Linked DNA regions of Drosophila melanogaster. The protein of the gene in region 1 purifies or fractionates together with the protein of each later gene. This does not show direct contact. Each region holds a gene or a part of one and is shown in the gene's direction. Other genes may lie near its edges.

Region 1 (8,497 bases):
TGCACGGTGTCTGAGCATATACGCAATTTGCGGTCTAATCCTAACGCCGCGTCTTGCATAATACCTTTAATACGCAGATAGTGGAAACAGACTCGCCTGGTTTGCCCAAATACCCACACGTGGTCCTAAGCTGCTTACCTAGGTAAGTCGCGGGCCAGAAAGGTCAGAGAGAGTTTGCCTGTTCTTTATCGCCAGCAAAGGTGGCAGCGATTGAGAATCAATCAAAAACGCATCAATAAAACTTGCGCAATGTCACTGCATCACACCGAAAACCAACCAAAAACACCCGAGAGTTACCCAGCAGGACATCGGGCCCAAAGGCAAACAGTAGGTGGTGCCGGAAGTGCAGGGCCGTTTTCCCATCAACATGAGCCCTGAAAACTAATTAAACTAATGATGACATAATTGGCTCTATCTGCAGCAGTCGAAGGTGTCGCGTTCTTTGTGGGGTCGCACAAACCGTCAGAGGTCCCGGAAAAGAAACAGATATATTCATTTACTCTCACAGAAAAAAGATAATTGATTTCTTTGCGAAATTGAATGCAATGACACTTGGATTTTCCGCTCACTGTGAGGTCCGGGCTGTTTCCGACTCGAGAAATGTTTTGACATTTGGGAAAAGGCAAGATTCTTGGACAATTCATCAGCGATCAGAAACCCGGACCCTTTTTACTTTTTTTTACGTTCTTGGAGTTCCTGGATTTTACCATGCGGAAGTGTAGCGTGTGCTCTTCCAACGAGCTAATTCCCACTTCCCCTTGGAGCTGGCCCCGACATGATGGGCCAATTAGGAAACAAACGCTCGAGTTTTCTAATTTTTAACAATGACTGTTGTTGCTTTATTTGTAAATATGCACATAAAAATACTTGGCTGCCGATGGCAGTAAATACACGTTATAGAAAAATGACATTCGATTGTATTGTATGTATGTATATATGTAAAGGGTATATAAATATGGATAGGTGTGGGCAGTGCTGTGCGCTTTAGTTTGTCTTATTCCGATGAAAGATCGGCAGGCCAGTCAGGCGAAGTCATTGTACGCTTATTTAAACGAATATACCATAAACTGAAATGAGTATATAGACGGCCCTTGTTGTTGGCAAGGTAAAGGCATTAAGTAAGGCACAAGTACTTGAGCCACTGAGATTACTAGGTGTCGCTGCTCGTACGTTTGCCAAGCAACTTCGTAGAGGTTCATTTGGGAATCCTTCTCGCCTTCCTTAGTACAGCATTATGGCGGTCTTGTTTTTATCGTCACATGGCGCCTCCAGGCATTGGCGGTTGCGGAGGCCGAGTCGCTGGGCGTACAACAGGATGGCGATATTCAGCAGCACAACGACGGTGGATACCACGACCAGGTAAAAGCTGTAACCAAGATAAGCCAGTCCATTGCTGTACCAGTGCTGCTGCTGCTGCTCAGTTAAAAGAACGTTGTGTATGAAATATTGGTAGAACTGCACGAGCCAAGCTACAAACGCCACTATTTGCGCCCCCGCGGCGCATATGTTGGAAGTCAGGAGCAGCATCATTGTGCCTCCTTTTTTGGCCGCAGAGGCTGACTTTAGGACAGCGGCGATGGCAGCCACAGCGCAGGCCAGCAGTGCGAAACCGGTGCCCAAGGTAGTAAGTAGCCAGAGCCAGAAGCTAGTGTCGTCATTTTCTGTCCGAACAAAGGTATACACTGAAAATACGGTGTGAAATAACAAAAGTTAAACAGGATTGCTTTAAAAATTTTATATTTTATTTGCATCTCCAAAAGCTGTTAAGCTTCCACGACGTTTTTATTCTATGTTGCATATTTGTGGCTCGCAATATAATACCCTTGCAATTTTAAAAATTGTAAACCCCAAATTTCAACCATATTATATAAAAGCAAGTAAAATATGGTTCCCTATGTCCTCGCTTCTATTATATTTTTTGCGCCAAAAATTTCAATATTTTTCAATTTTGTTAAATAGAATGTAACTTCCCTTTAGCCCTAAAGTTTGTTGTGTCACTTGATTATTAATAAGAAAAACAAAAACAATTTTGGTTTTTACAATTTAATTTTTAAGCATATCCTTAGGATCTGCAAGATAAATAAATGTAATCGAAAAGTATACATAATGGTTAATTTTTGGATATGTCTGCACTGATCATGAGTATTATTCGGGTATTTAATTTTATCAACTCGCCCGATTATGTTTGTGATCTTCACAACTAAACAAATTTAAAAGTAAATCTATTTTTAACAACAGTCTTATCCAGGACAATATCGGTTTTCAACTAATACATGCCCCAATAATCAGCACATTTTCCTAATCGTATATTCATTCAGAAAGCGTCCCAAGAAGTTTAAAGAGGCTAATTCACGATGCAGGTAATGAGAAGATCACTCTCTATCTAGTTTTCCCTGCTATCTAGGCTACTTTGATTGCTCACCATCAACCGAATTTGTGCGGACTCCGAATCCGGGATTCAGGTGGTAGTTGCCGAAGAAGAGTCCGAAGTTGAATTCACCCTTGGCGTCCGACGAGTTCTTGCGGCGTGGAGTGGCCCGCACCCAGTGATTAGTGGTCATGCTGACGAGCAAGAGGCCAATAGCCAGGCAGCTGCCAAAGAAGGTGGAGAACACTAACGCCCGTGTGTGCAAGCTCATCTTGATAATGCTCATGGAAGACCGGTGGCATATGTAGAAGGCTATGCTGTTTTCACCATTAAGAAATGTCTAGGGCCCGACTCCAGCTGCAGCGAAGAAAGTTAGTAGGAAACGTTAGTAAGCGGAGGACGCAATGCCAGTGGCCTTGCAGCGTATTGCTTACCCTTTTATGACTATGTCGGCGGGATCAATTGCAAATATAGTCTTTGTTCGCGGAACAAAAGATTGTTGCACAGGTAAACAATTAATATAAACTGTCTTGCCCTTGTTTTTTTCTCAGAAGAGAAGACTGAGCGGATATTTTTTCTCAAAGAGTACGGTAGCATTAATTTGGGATTTGGTCTGGCAACCACGGCCCGTCTAGTATATTCGATAACGATACAATTCTCATACCAAAATGGCTCGACAACCCTGGTTCCATGCAAAAATAGCGCGAAGTTTTTGTGTTTACGGCGGTGAAAAAATAGATTTCGTGTAAATATGAGCAGTCGCAAGCACAGAGGCTCCGAAAACATGGAAAATTTGTGCCCGGTGACCAGGTGAGTTTTCCTTTGCTTGGGGTGTGGGTTCAAGCAGCAGACCACTGAACTGGTCGCGTGACGTCACACGCGCCACAAGTGTCCAAAAGAGGTCAAGAAAGTAACTTATTGAATTGCAGGGTTCTTGACCCTTTCTTTCATCAGCCATTCTGCTGATGAAGCACGATCGAACTGCACACTTTTAATAAATTTTCGACTATTGCAGAAAGCGCTCGACTAATAAGAACCACGTCTCTGTTGTGGGCGCTCTAGTTTCCACTACGAAGTCATCGCACTACGAGCACCCTTCCTCGCCCTCGGCACTAACTTTTGAGGCCCTAGAAGAGATGGGAATCGGAATGCTTGATTCCGAAGAAAGCAGCTCCTCAGCCCTCTCGGCCATCGCTTTGGCGGTTAGCGCCACCAGCGACGACAACTCAAATGAGACGACCCCGTGCGCCAGTGTGTCGCGCATGGCGCACCAGCTACAGCACACGCAACGGCTAAGTCTGGGCTCTACGGGGGACATCACACTGGATAGCCCAGCTGTGGAGGATTCACTGTCGATGTCCCGTCAATCGGCCGAGAAGCTGCAGATTCTGGCGCAGGCTAAGCGCTCGTCGTTGGGTTCTGAAGGTAGCGGCAATTCAAACTCGCCCAGCAAACGTTTGCGCAACCCCCTGGCTGCAGTCACCTGTAACAACCAGATTGATGGGACTGCTTCGCTCAATTTTCAGCCATCAACCAGCAGGTTGGCGCAAGTTCGCCAGGCAAAAAAGCCCTCGACAACAAATATTACAACCCGAATAGTGGCAGCGGACAGTTTCTTTGTGTTTCGCACCCCGGCCATGAGTGCCCACATCAACAGCGGCATAAACTACTTTGAAAGACTTTCAGACGAAATACTACTTGACATCTTTAAGTGGCTCCCGAAGAAGACGCTGCTGCGCATGGCTACCGTTTGTCGACGCTTTAACCGCTGCTCTCGCGATGAGACTTTGTGGACAAGGCTAGATTTGGGTTTGCGGACAATTAGACCAGGTGCCCTCGAGCAAATTGTACGGCGGGGAGTCCTTGTAATACGTCTGGCCCAGACTAGTGTAAGTTACATCTAACATTATGTTTTCGGGAAACAAGAGCATCTAATCTTTGAACTGTAGATCCAGGAGCCCGCATTTGCACCATATACAGAAGTGTTTAGGACCCGATTACAATATCTTGACCTGAGTATGGCTTCCATCACCCGAAGCTCACTGCTGACACTATTGTCCCACTGCCGCCAGCTAAAGAAAATAAGCTTAGAGAATATTGAGCTCGATGATGACATCTGTGCAGAGATCGCAAAGAATGAAGCTTTGGAGGCGGTCAATCTGACTATGGCTAGTGGCCTGACGTCCAACAGTGTTCGCCTGATGATGGAGTCACTTACCAGCCTAAGCAGCTTAAACATATCGTGGACTGACCTAAGTGCGGATGCTGTTACGGCGTTGGTTACCCACATTTCCCCCAACTTAATTCGGCTCAATATCGCTGGCTGCCGCCGCGTTTTGTTTGACTCGCGTAAGTAGTTCCCACCGTCTTCAATGATATATTTCCTTTTTGATTTGAATTTAATTTGTTTAGATGTTGCAACCCTGCAAAAACGGTGTCCTCAGTTGTTGGAGCTTGATCTATCTGATTGCAATAGTCTAACACCAACAGTCATTACTGCAATTATGAAGTTCAAGATGCTGGAATATTTGTCCGTCTCCCGATGCTATCTTATTCCAGCAACCAAATTTATGTAAGATTTTTCCAGCAAGCGTCTGATTAATCCCTACCCAGTCATTTTCCTTGCAGTGAACTTAAGAGTATGCCCTCGCTAACCTATTTAGACATATTTGGGATGCTGTCGGACACTGCAATGGAAGTCCTTGAGAAACAACTGCCAAAAATGGGTATAAACAAATTCATTCACAGTTCGGTATCCCGCCCGACTGTTGGCACGCGACGCACCTCCATTTGGGGTCTGCGCACGCGCGACTAAGTCTCGACTCTGCTGCTTCCGTTACCATTTGAATTTGTTTTGCTGCGTAAGCCACCCGTAACGCAGTTATTTTATTCTCAATTCAACAACATAAATAATCACATTTAGCTGTTCTTATTTTTGTGCGTTTGGTCACTGATCCGCTTCGCTAAGGGGCTCCACTGGTTTCTCCCATTCCCATTCCTCCCAGTTGACGCAGTTCTTGAGACTATCCATGAATCCTGTTTCGCTGGGGCACTTGATTTCAATGGCTGGTTTGTTAAGTGTCTCACACTTCCAATACGATGTGGCATCCCAATTGTTGCGGAAAACTACAATGTCTAGCTCGGCTTGGGTCTTGCAACCCGGCTGTCCGTCACCATCATAGGCGAGGGCAATGCCAAAAGAAATCACTAGTAGGGAGGTTAGAGCGAGCTGAACCTTCATCTTTCAAAAAATGTTCTATGGTCTACTGGAAGTACTCGAAGCCTTTTATAGTTACATAGTTGCAGCGGTATAGTATCCAAGTGCAGCTACTACCAGAAAATGCTTTTATAAATTGGCATTAATGTAAACACTCGAGAGAGGAAGGAAAAGATAACAGTACTTGCCCTTGACTCCAATCTGTTCAAACTAAAAAAGGTACAATGAGTCACCCAATTTTCCATTTAAAAATTCATTGTTTTTATACTATATTAAATATTTAAGAAAATAAACAAAAAATATGTCTTTTATCAAGGAAAGCATAATCAAGCCAATTCAAAACAAAATCATATAGGGAAACGACAAATATAAATATTTTCGATCTAGTTCGTAATCATAGGTTCAAGAACAAAGTTCGTATTGGACAGCCTGCCAAATTTAAAGATTCAGCAATATAAAAGTAACTAAAGCAAGAGAGAAGGCTATGGTCGAGTTCCTCGACTATCAGATACCCGTCACCCGTGGCAACATGGGTCAACTAACTTGCGCTGGGTATTTGTCTCTAGAATCTGTATGCTTAATCTCAACCTTCTAGCTTTTATAGTTCCTGAGATCTCGACTTTCATACGGACAGACGTACATGGCCAGATCGGCTATTGATCCTGGTCAAGAATATATGTACTTCATATGGTCGGGAACGCTTCCTTCTGCCTGTTTCAACGAATCTAGTATACTCTATTACTCTACGAGTAACGGGTAGAAATATAAAATTGAAACTATTTTGAGTCATCCCTCCAATTGGTAATTTTTTTATATATTAACGGAAATTTAAAGTGCGTTACAAAAGTAAAAATTCTTTTGGTGCTAGTATGCTTAACGGGGTGGACATTTCGGCGTTTTCCACACTTCTTGGGAAATCACTTTAGACAAATTTGTACCAATGTCGGTACTTAATAGTATTTAACTATAACTTACCTTTTGCCTTTGGTGTGAATAGGCTATTAAGCCAAAGAGTAAACATTCGTCGATTGTAACTCCCTTGTCATCGATGTTGGCCAATACGTGACAACATCGATAGTATCGATAACTATCAGGTTCAGGTTCGCCTGTATTGCACTATTTTGCTTCACACACGTAATTTCGGAATTTGCCAGAAAAACACCGATCTGCTATTGATCTTAGTCCAAAATTGCGTTTTTAAGTCGAAAAGACACTTTTCGGCTTTTAGATGGATGAAGACTCGGCTACGATACAGCTGGGGGATAGGCGTCTCGGTAACGCGGTCGATCATGATCTGCTTCCAGGGCCACCCGGCGTCGATGAGAAAAGCGGAAACGAGAACTGCGAGCCCAGGAGCAGTGGGTCGGGAAAGCGCGGCAAGTCGAATTCCAGGCGCCGTTCCACATCCCGTGGTCGGTCGGATTCCCGCAACACATCGCCGTCGAACACCCGGCGAAGGCATTCCCTGTCCCGCTCGCTGACTCCACCGCGTCGTCGTTACGATTCGCCCGATTATGGGCGGTACTCCCGACGGCGCTTTGATCGTGATCGGCGACGCTCCCCCGAACGCCGGCGCTCTCCGCCACGTCGCGGACGACGGTACGGACGATCCCGGTCCCGCAGCATGTCGCCCCGACGGGGAGGTCGATGGTCACCAAAAAAAAAACCGTCGTCGCCGCCAGTGCCCCCTCCGCATGGAGGACCACATCCTCAAATGACCCCTGGCTATGGAGCTATGGCCGCACATATCTACGGATCATACGTCGCTCCACCAGATGTTTACGGTCACCAATATGGAATTCCGCCTAACTCGTTTCCACCTCAGGGACCGGGGTACGGTATTCCAGGTGCCCCGCCGGACCAAAGCTCTTTTGGCTCTGGCTACGGTCCGCCTCCCACAAGCGCGTGGGACGTAAATGGTACGTTTCTAGACATTTAACGCCAAAAGCCCTTCATTTATTAAGCATATTATTTCCTGCAGTGTACGGTCAGCAGGTGTGGATTAACCAGCCTATTTCTGGGGTCCAGCCATCCGCTTCAGACTCCCTGATCCAGCCACAGAAGGCCCGCGAAACTCTCTCTGGCAAGACGATAGGCGAGGAGCAGTCGGTGCCAGCGCTCGAAGGCGCAGGTTTGACGCCTCAGGATGGTAAGTGTGGAAATGAATTACAATGTGATCACTACGAACATTCACATGCAAACCTCTCACATTGTTTTATTACTGTTGTCATGATTACTTGTACTTGTAACTTAATTGCGCGCAAATGAATCGCATACCAGAAATTACCAAAAGTCTAGGGTAAAGATCAGATTAATCAGAATCTAGAAGTACACGCGCTGCAAGAACTAACCAAGACCAACCCGAGCGATAGTCTCGAAATGTTAATTCGTTTCAAAAAGAAAATGCAGAGTTTCCGTTTTTGTGTGGCAGTCGAAACAAACAATTACGCCAACCTGGACGACCGCCGCCCCAACTGGCTCTTCATTCAACGAGGACTGGCAGAACAAGCAATCACGGCGACTGCATCCGAGTGTAATTAGCCGATGAAATGCACTCGAGAATGCATTTGTAAATGAAATTTTAACTTTTATTTATCTAGGAAGAATGTTTATTAATTAAAACCTATATATTTATCCCCCATATATATACCGTCGATCGGCAGCTGTTGCCCAAGAAGCGGAGAAGCAAAAGGACGAGCTTAAGAAACAGCGCGCTAACTATGTCAAAAAGGTATCGCTGCTCAAGAAGGAAATGAAAGTACTTAAGGACCAGCGCGAGGACCTGGCAGCAGGCGATGCCCCACCCTCGCCAACCACAAAGAATTTCATCGAAGAAAACGACCGCCTGCAGGTGAATTGGGATCCCAAAACCTTATCTGTTAGCCACTCTATGTAACCTGTTTTCATCCTGT
Region 2 (8,309 bases), about 16 Mb from region 1:
CAATAACCACTTTACATCCAAGTAAGTTTTCTTGAAACTTTTAAGCTCTCTTAAAACTTATAAATGCTTAAACTCTAGCAATCCAAGCCGCCTCCGTAGGCCAGGAATGTGGGATATTTAATGAGAAGCAGTACAATAGTGACAATATCATTGCGGAGCCTACCGAACATCCTTGGGTTGTGCGGATCGTAGGAGTGACTAAGGATGGCAGCAACACATTGCTCTGCACTGGCATTCTTATCGATTCCAGACGCGTTGTGACCGCAGCTCACTGTGTTTCAAAGGATGAATCGGAAAGCATTTATGGCGTTGTCTTCGGGGATTCCGACTCTAGCAATATCAATCTTGTCAGCGCAGTCACTGTCCATCCAGATTACTCACCTAGGAAATTCGAAAACGACTTGGCCATAATAGAGCTGACCAAGGAGGTGGTGTTTTCAGACTTGGTTCAACCAATTTGCTTGCCTTCAGTATCCGAAATGGTTCCAGGAAGTGAAACCTCCAATTCAAAGCTTATCGTTGCCGGACTGGAGGGACCGTCATTCGACCGAAGGCATTCGGCAACTCAAAGGTTAGACAAACGCATTAAAATGACATACACTAAAATTGACAGCAAGGAGTGCCATGAGAAGCAAGCCCGCTTTCCGGAGGAACTGATCTGTGGCCACACCGAGAGGAGTCCTCTTTCAGGATCAGCTTTGACCGAGGCTTCGGGTACTCCACGCCAATTTCATCTGTTGGGAATTGCGGTTGCTGGATTCTTCTCGTCTGACCTAGATCACCAAGGGTACTTAAACATTCGACCCCATCTAGATTGGATTTCGAAGAATTCCTCAAAGTTAAGATAAAATAGCATATCGTTTTACATCAAAATCCTAAAGCTTTTTAAATATATTGTACCTAAAGCTTTTACTATTTTTCTAAATATTTGAAAACTAAAAAGACAGAATAAGTTTTTTAATGTGCATCCGCTAGAGGATCTAAAATTGACTCAAGTTACAACTCAAGTTTAGATATTAATTAATTAAAAAGTCTCTAGGTAAAGAAGAGTTTCCAACTTTTCTCATTAGTAAAAAGATTTTTAATTTTTGGCAACCAAGCTGTGACTTTTGACAGGTGGGTTTATAAATAAGGAAGCAAAGTCTTTTGCCAAATTCGTGGTTATCCATTTGGCCGCGTTTAGTTGCTGTTGCTAAAAATTGAGAGCGCTTTCGGGTTATTTGCGCAAAGTTGCCGACTCCTGACCCAAACCCAAATGCATAAATCACGCGAAGCCCCAAAACACAGTGGGTAGTCCTCGCTATTGGGTTGTCCTCCGCACGGAATTCAATTCACATTGGCCCCAAACTTTTGCCATTAGGCAAGCGCGCACTCCTTCTGTTTTTTGGGGAAATGCAGTTTTTCGACACTTGGCTGGCGCCAAAAGCCTTAAGTACACATCAACTGCAAATAATTTATGTTCTCAAGCCACTTGCTTTCATCTCAACCGGTGCAGTAGAGCAACCTTATCGAGTGGCAGCCATGGAATATGGTAATTCTGGAGAAGCTGCAGTCATAAATTCATTGAAATGAAATGCGAAGTACTCGTAATCGAAGCACTCGGCTGCAAGGTTTACAGTGCCAATGAATCATGTCTAATTTTCGATATCGGAGCGACATGAGTACCGATCGAAGTGGCTGAAGGATTCGGTGAGGTCGTCATCAAGCATACGGCCCGTGGCCCGGAATGATTAATGTGCCATAAATGTGCGCGCCAAAAACATTCACAGCTAGAGCCTAAGCACGCGAAAAATAAACGCAGAGGCGAAAGCAAATTAAAATACGGATTTTTATGGCACTTTTTTTATTGCAACACGTAAAACACAAATTGAGACAAGATGGAGTGGAGTGTAAGCGAATTGCGTGCGCCTGCCACAAGCAATTACAATTACAATTTTAAATGCAACGCACATAAAATGCACGGAATGTCTTTTTAAACGATAAGGGTCCGCAATTACATGGCAAATCTCGCACTCCGGAATTAACTCAGTTGTAGCCCAACATTTTAACATACCACAATGCTAAACGGAATGCATGGCGATATGCTCTCATTCAAATTGGCTGCTATTTTGGTCACATTATCGTTAATGACTCTAGGAAGTAGGCATTGCATTTAAATCTCGCTGATCCCCGCCTTTATTCTCAAAGACCCTTCTCCTCTGGCCAGCAGTTCAAGAAAATGATCGAGTGCAAGACCAGTAAACCGAGAAGATAGTCGAGAGCAATTCAACTGGCTGGGCAGGATTAGGTACACCAGGTCAGCTGGTTGGGTGTGGTATCCCTGCTCCGGAGTGGCCGTAACCATGTCCTTGTGCCTGCTCACTGTGTTATATTCCTGGATAAGGGCGATGCCTACAGCTTTATGTTTGGAAACAGAAGTCGCCTTTTTTATTCACCCAGAGTATCGTTCCGTCTTACGATGTTGCCGTCCTTAAACTGAACTCCCAACTGAGATCCTGTTTGTCTGTATCGGAGGATACAGATTCCCATGACGTGATCGCCCGACTATTCAATGTGGTCAGTACGCTGGTGGATAAGCATCCGAAAAGCCTTCATACCCTGGCCAGAGTCACGAGTGCGTGCGTACACCAGGATAAAGATTTCCTAACTGGTGCAGCTCTATTTGGGATGAAAATTGTAGATGGATCTGAAGCTTGGCATCTTTTGTGAATATCAACGCACGGCCAGTACGAAAGAAACCACAAGATACCAATAATTGGATTGGGAACCATCTTAGTCTATAACTAAGTGTCCGGAAGAAATGTAAAAATGATTGAAAATAGTAGATAAATGGCATTTACTAATCATTAAATTCAGAACAAAGTTTCATTCAAAGTTAAAGAGTCCTCTTCACACATATTGTATGTACATACTTAACTAAATACCTGTTGGAAAAGTAGATTGCATTGCGACAATAAGAAACACCTTCACACTTTATCTGCAAGAGGTTATTGTTCTCAGTGTGCAAAATCATTGTGATTTCCTCGATCGGAAAATACTTTGTTGTGAGCGAGATGACAGTAAGCGAGGTTCTACTGGTTATACTGGTTATGCGTAAGTGATGTAACCCAATTACTTTATTATGCTTATCTACCAATTTTCTTTATTTATACTTATAAGCCACTGGTATAATCACTGAAGTTCAGCGCTGTGGAAGACCGTTGGAAAATCAGCTTTACAACGACAAAACATTCGCGGAACAGGATGAGCATCCTTGGCTGGGACGTATACTCTTCAGGGATGGAAATCAATTTACCACCTGCTATCGCTGCACCGTCGTACTGCTCAATCCGCGTCGTGGCCTAGCGCCAGCTCTCTGCGTGGATGGAAGGACCAAAGACCCTTATTCTAGTGTCTTTGGAAGGACCATCCGCGGAGCTCCTTTGCATCCAGACGCTATCCTGGCAGGAGTTCGCCTAGTAAATGGGGAACCGAGACAGTACTATATTATCCGGCAGCTCTTGGCCAAATTTGATTCGGTTTTTTCAGGAGCAGATCTTTTCATGTACATCGCACCCTACATTAATTGGATAGAGGCGAGAATCAACGTATTAAACGAACGTCACATTTCATTAAAAACATATATTTAATTAGTTAAAAGAGTAAATTTAGAAACCATTAAGAAACTGCATAAATACGATTTTTGCTTTAACTTTATTTATCAATTTTAAATGTCTTGATCCAACTGTGATAGGCATTAACGGGTCTCAACGGTTAATTTTATTTTTTATTTTAAAAGTTTTGTGCAAAGAAGAAAACAATACATTTAAAATAGGGGTAGTCAACCTTAGAGCTGTCACATCGCAGAACAATCGATTAAGGAATTCTTATCGATATGTGGCGCTGCTGTGCGACTTATCGGCGGTTGCATGAGAATGGCTAGCATCACCAAAGAAGAAGAATTTCCCTCCAAAATATTAGTTTATTTTGCCAACATCGATCTCAAGGATTGTTTACGAGGTTATGACCACCATTCTAGATAACTTTCAACGCGCCGAAAAGATTGGCGAGGGCACCTACGGTATAGTTTACAAAGCGCGTAGCAACTCCACCGGCCAGGATGTGGCCCTCAAAAAGATTCGGCTAGAAGGGTGCGTAATCCAGGTGGAGCAGGACTGTGATGCTGTTCATGGCAACCATAGGAAATATTATGTGACATATGGACATATTATCCTTGACGAATGTCATCCACCTGCACCCCGCAGCCCGAATTATGTGGGAGCTGCGCCGTTTCCGTAATCCGTAGCACCACATGATTCGGCTTCGTGGTACAGGATATCATCGGTTTTTGCTAGCAAACGGGTAATCACGATTGCCAGTATTTAGCTTTATTTAATAGCATAATTCCGATTCACAGCGAAACGGAGGGTGTTCCTTCGACGGCCATTCGAGAGATCTCCCTGCTGAAGAACCTTAAGCACCCAAATGTGGTCCAACTATTTGACGTAGTCATTTCCGGCAACAATCTGTACATGATATTCGAGTACCTGAACATGGATCTAAAGAAGCTGATGGATAAGAAAAAAGACGTGTTCACCCCTCAGTTGATAAAGGTAAGTACACTAGTTTGCAGCCCATTAAAATATTTTCACATTGCCACTTTGCAGAGCTATATGCATCAGATATTAGATGCCGTCGGCTTTTGCCACACGAATCGTATCCTGCATCGCGATCTCAAGCCCCAGAACCTTCTCGTAGACACGGCGGGCAAAATAAAGGTGAGACTAAAGGTTTTACCCGCTGTTGGTTCTGTGATAATAACGAATTCCAACTCCAGTTGGCTGACTTTGGCCTAGCAAGGGCCTTCAACGTGCCTATGCGGGCGTACACACACGAAGTCGTCACCCTCTGGTACCGAGCTCCAGAGATTCTGTTGGGCACGAAATTCTACTCCACGGGCGTGGACATCTGGAGTCTAGGCTGCATTTTCTCTGAAATGGTAGTGTTATATGGAATGTACATTCCAAGCGGATCTGATTACTAAACCTAGAATTACAGATTATGCGCCGCTCCTTGTTTCCTGGAGACAGCGAGATCGATCAACTTTATAGGATTTTCCGTACCTTAAGCACACCTGATGAAACAAATTGGCCTGGTGTGACGCAGCTGCCAGACTTTAAGACCAAGTTCCCTAGATGGGAGGGAACTAACATGCCACAACCCATAACCGAACACGAGGCGCACGAACTCATAATGGTGAGTGCAGAAAATGTACATCCCCAATGGAAATCCACTACTCTGTACCTTACAGTCAATGCTGTGCTATGATCCCAACCTGCGCATCTCAGCCAAGGACGCACTGCAGCACGCTTACTTCCGCAATGTGCAGCATGTTGACCATGTAGCCCTGCCTGTAGATCCCAATGCCGGCAGCGCTTCGCGTCTAACGCGGCTCGTCTGATCGTGTCCAATAGCCCCAGATCTAGCAAATTACTTGTGTTTTCTAGTATAGTAAGTTCGATGTCTATCTCACTATCTTTAAGGCGAAACTAGTAAAATTATTTGAATATCTAATCTATTTTACAGCTGCCACCTCATTATCATGCATTCCCCATCCTAACTCGCACGTAACATACGATAAATACACGATCATCCATAAGTAAAGAGTTTATAGTTTATAGCTTAGCATGGATTACCAGGAGCTCAGCCGGGCAAGGTGTCGTTGATGATGGCGTGGCGAAACTTTGGCGGCGGAATCGTTAGCCCCTGCTGCATCGCTAGCGAGTCTCTGGCGCTGGCGGGTGTGGCTATCGTCGCGCATATACGTGCCAAGAGTATTGCGCATGCTCTCGGAGAGCGGTGAATGGGCTTCGACATCACCATCGTCGTCATCGCTAGTCGGTGCATCGCTCGGTGCGCTGCTGTCTGTTTCCTCTGCTGCATCTTCATTCTCAATGGGATGCTCCGGTTTGCTGACTTCTAATAGCTTCGTCAATGATTGGCCCTTGGCCGACAATAGGGGCAGTGGTCGAAGTAGGGTCACCTTTCTGGTTCCGAGTCTTCTCATTACGGGCGCCTCTTCCTCATGCTCGCCTTCCACATCCTCTGCCTCCCTAGGCGGCGGAATAAAAAGCTGCCGTAAAAATTAGATTGGAAATCCTGAGGACTGAAGCGCTGTACTCCGTAGTAGCTACCGGAATTGGTGTCGTAGAAGAACATCGGCTCGGCGGACCGCGGCGGAGAAGGTGGCACAAAGTAGGGATCGTAAGGGCTGTAGGCATCATCGTTCTCCGCCGAGTCGTAGCTCGGTCGGCGCTTTTGTTGCTTGCGGCGCTTTCGCTTGCGTTTTTTGGTAGCCTGTGAGGCCACTTGAGCTGGTTCCTCAAGCTGCAGCTCCTGATCTTCATCGTAGGACTGCAGATAAACCGGCGACGTCTCGATGATGTTCGTACTGCCATCGTTAAAGAAGTTGGCCAACGGATTGGTCAGGTTACGGAAACTGAAAGCGGGCTGAACACTGCGGACGAAGCTATTCCAAACACGAACCAACGGGCGTTCAGTTGTTGTAGGAGCTGCTTTTCCCAGACTATGAATATAGCGCCTTCTGTATCCACCACGAGCACTCGGCAACAGGACATACTCGATGGGATAGTTTCTGGAGCTAGAATAAAAATTTCGTTCAAAGTTTAACTTTAAAATGTCATAGTTATACTTTTTTCAACTCAAATATAATTGTTTTATAAAAAAATGTATCCTATATAAGCATATAGTTGTTTGAATTGTTTATGTGATATCTATAATATGCAATAATAATCTACTATGAATTATTGGATTAAATAAGGTTCAGAAAATACCAAAAAGTGGTTATATAAATGTCATATCTGTCGAAAATCAAAACTTCATTGTTAGTCGTCAACGTTTGCTCACCCAATCTTTGCCTGCTTTTGCGGCAAGCGTCGCTCCATCTCGTTTGCGGATATCCTTACTCCTTGCGAAGGACAACTCCATGCTACAAAAAGCACTAGGGCAGTAAACAATTGCCACTGCATTGCTGTATACAATATGTTCGTCGGGCTTACTATATAGTATTTCGAATGCGTCCGTTACCGTTCCCGGTCGAAGGGAAACTGAAACTCATCCGAATCGCGAAATCAGTGGTCAACAGCTCGACGGTGATGCCTTTGTCTTTTTGACCAGCTCGTTGGATTAGTTTTTATTGGTTCACAGAACGGTTAGCCACAGTCTTAGCCAAATTGATTTGTAATGGCATTGTCCCGAGCCCCAGATCATTTCCAAAGCTATGGCCATGTTGGTGGCCCTAACTCATGCCGACACTAAGCCAACTAACCCAATTTGGAGACCATCTTCATATCTCCCGCGGGGCTCGTTGGCAGCTGCCAATCTCGCCCATGCATATGTAAATGGATTTTTATAGATTACACAATTAATACGCCATTCAGTTCTTGGCTGCGACTGAAAAACTCGTTTGCTGGCGGGTTCTGATTTCGAAATTTTATGCTAAGCTGTCTGGGATGAGTCGTCGGCTTGCGAAATGCTTTCTCCTGACGAATTTATGCTTATGGGGTCTTCTCCTTATCAAGATTTTACGATCTATATAAACATATGGGTGTATTAATGGATGCACCGTCTAGGCAGCTCCTATTTTTTATGGCATAACTATGCTGATTGTGGTGGCAGCCCTAAATAGACACATTAGATAGATTTGACAAATTTGTCAAATTTTATTACTGATGAAATTGGAGCATGGAGATATGATATGTTTTCGTCAAAGGGAAATCATGTGAAAGAAATATCACACTTTCTAAAGATGTTGCTTGAAATAAAAAATTGTGTTAAGCTCCTTAAAATAATAAATTAAAGTTTTACCTTTTGCACAGATTGCTCAATCAAGAGACACCAAAACAAAAAGTTTTTAGTAGTAATCCCTTAAATCAATTCTGAATTGGTTGCATAAAACAAACAACATTTACTAATACTAATTTAAATATAATAATATAATATTCTTTAGACTACGTAAATAGAACAAAATAAAATCTATGCACACAAGAAGTTGCTTAACTGGAAAAGTAATATAAAATGGCCATGATAAATTTCTCTTTGTCGTTTTTTTCTATGAAGCAAAGCGATATTATTGGCTTAATATAACTTATTTTTGCTCCGGCAATCACGAAATGTGAAAATCCTTATCAGCCCAAATCGCAAGCAATTTATTGAGTCCTTTTGAAGCCGCGAAATGCAACGACAAAAGCAAAACGAAAACAAAAAGCAAAAAGAAAAGAGCAAAGAAAATTCCTAACAAGTGTTTTTCT

What was found.
Region 2: the proteins of Skp2 (region 1) and Cdk2 purify together in Drosophila melanogaster (affinity purification with western blotting, with the first as the bait; one study listed by BioGRID). This does not show direct contact.

The regions. Positions count from the first base shown.
Region 1 is NT_033777.3:4,332,229-4,340,725, reverse strand, and holds Skp2 (S-phase kinase-associated protein 2), read left to right. Parts: upstream 1-3,051; 5' UTR 3,052-3,119; coding exon 3,120-3,178; intron 3,179-3,383; coding exon 3,384-4,257; intron 4,258-4,317; coding exon 4,318-4,717; intron 4,718-4,780; coding exon 4,781-4,940; intron 4,941-4,996; coding exon 4,997-5,183; 3' UTR 5,184-5,315; coding exon of another isoform or gene 5,316-5,609; 3' UTR 5,610-5,847; downstream 5,848-8,497. Other genes in the region: CG1103 (uncharacterized protein), read right to left, coding at 1,222-1,682, 2,423-2,654; CG14645 (uncharacterized protein), read right to left, coding at 5,316-5,609; CG9776 (uncharacterized protein), read left to right, coding at 6,814-7,504, 7,567-7,734, 8,249-8,436.
Region 2 is NT_033777.3:20,731,695-20,740,003, forward strand, and holds Cdk2 (Cyclin-dependent kinase 2), read left to right. Parts: upstream 1-3,928; 5' UTR 3,929-4,002; coding exon 4,003-4,130; intron 4,131-4,228; exon of another isoform or gene 4,229-4,318; intron 4,319-4,396; coding exon 4,397-4,592; intron 4,593-4,646; coding exon 4,647-4,757; intron 4,758-4,816; coding exon 4,817-4,978; intron 4,979-5,037; coding exon 5,038-5,235; intron 5,236-5,290; coding exon 5,291-5,440; 3' UTR 5,441-5,490; exon of another isoform or gene 5,491-5,565; 3' UTR 5,566-5,671; coding exon of another isoform or gene 5,672-6,640; 3' UTR 6,641-6,720; downstream 6,721-8,309. Other genes in the region: CG31205 (uncharacterized protein), read left to right, coding at 1-21, 79-848. UniProt on the Drosophila melanogaster protein: Like Cdk1, could play a key role in the control of the eukaryotic cell cycle.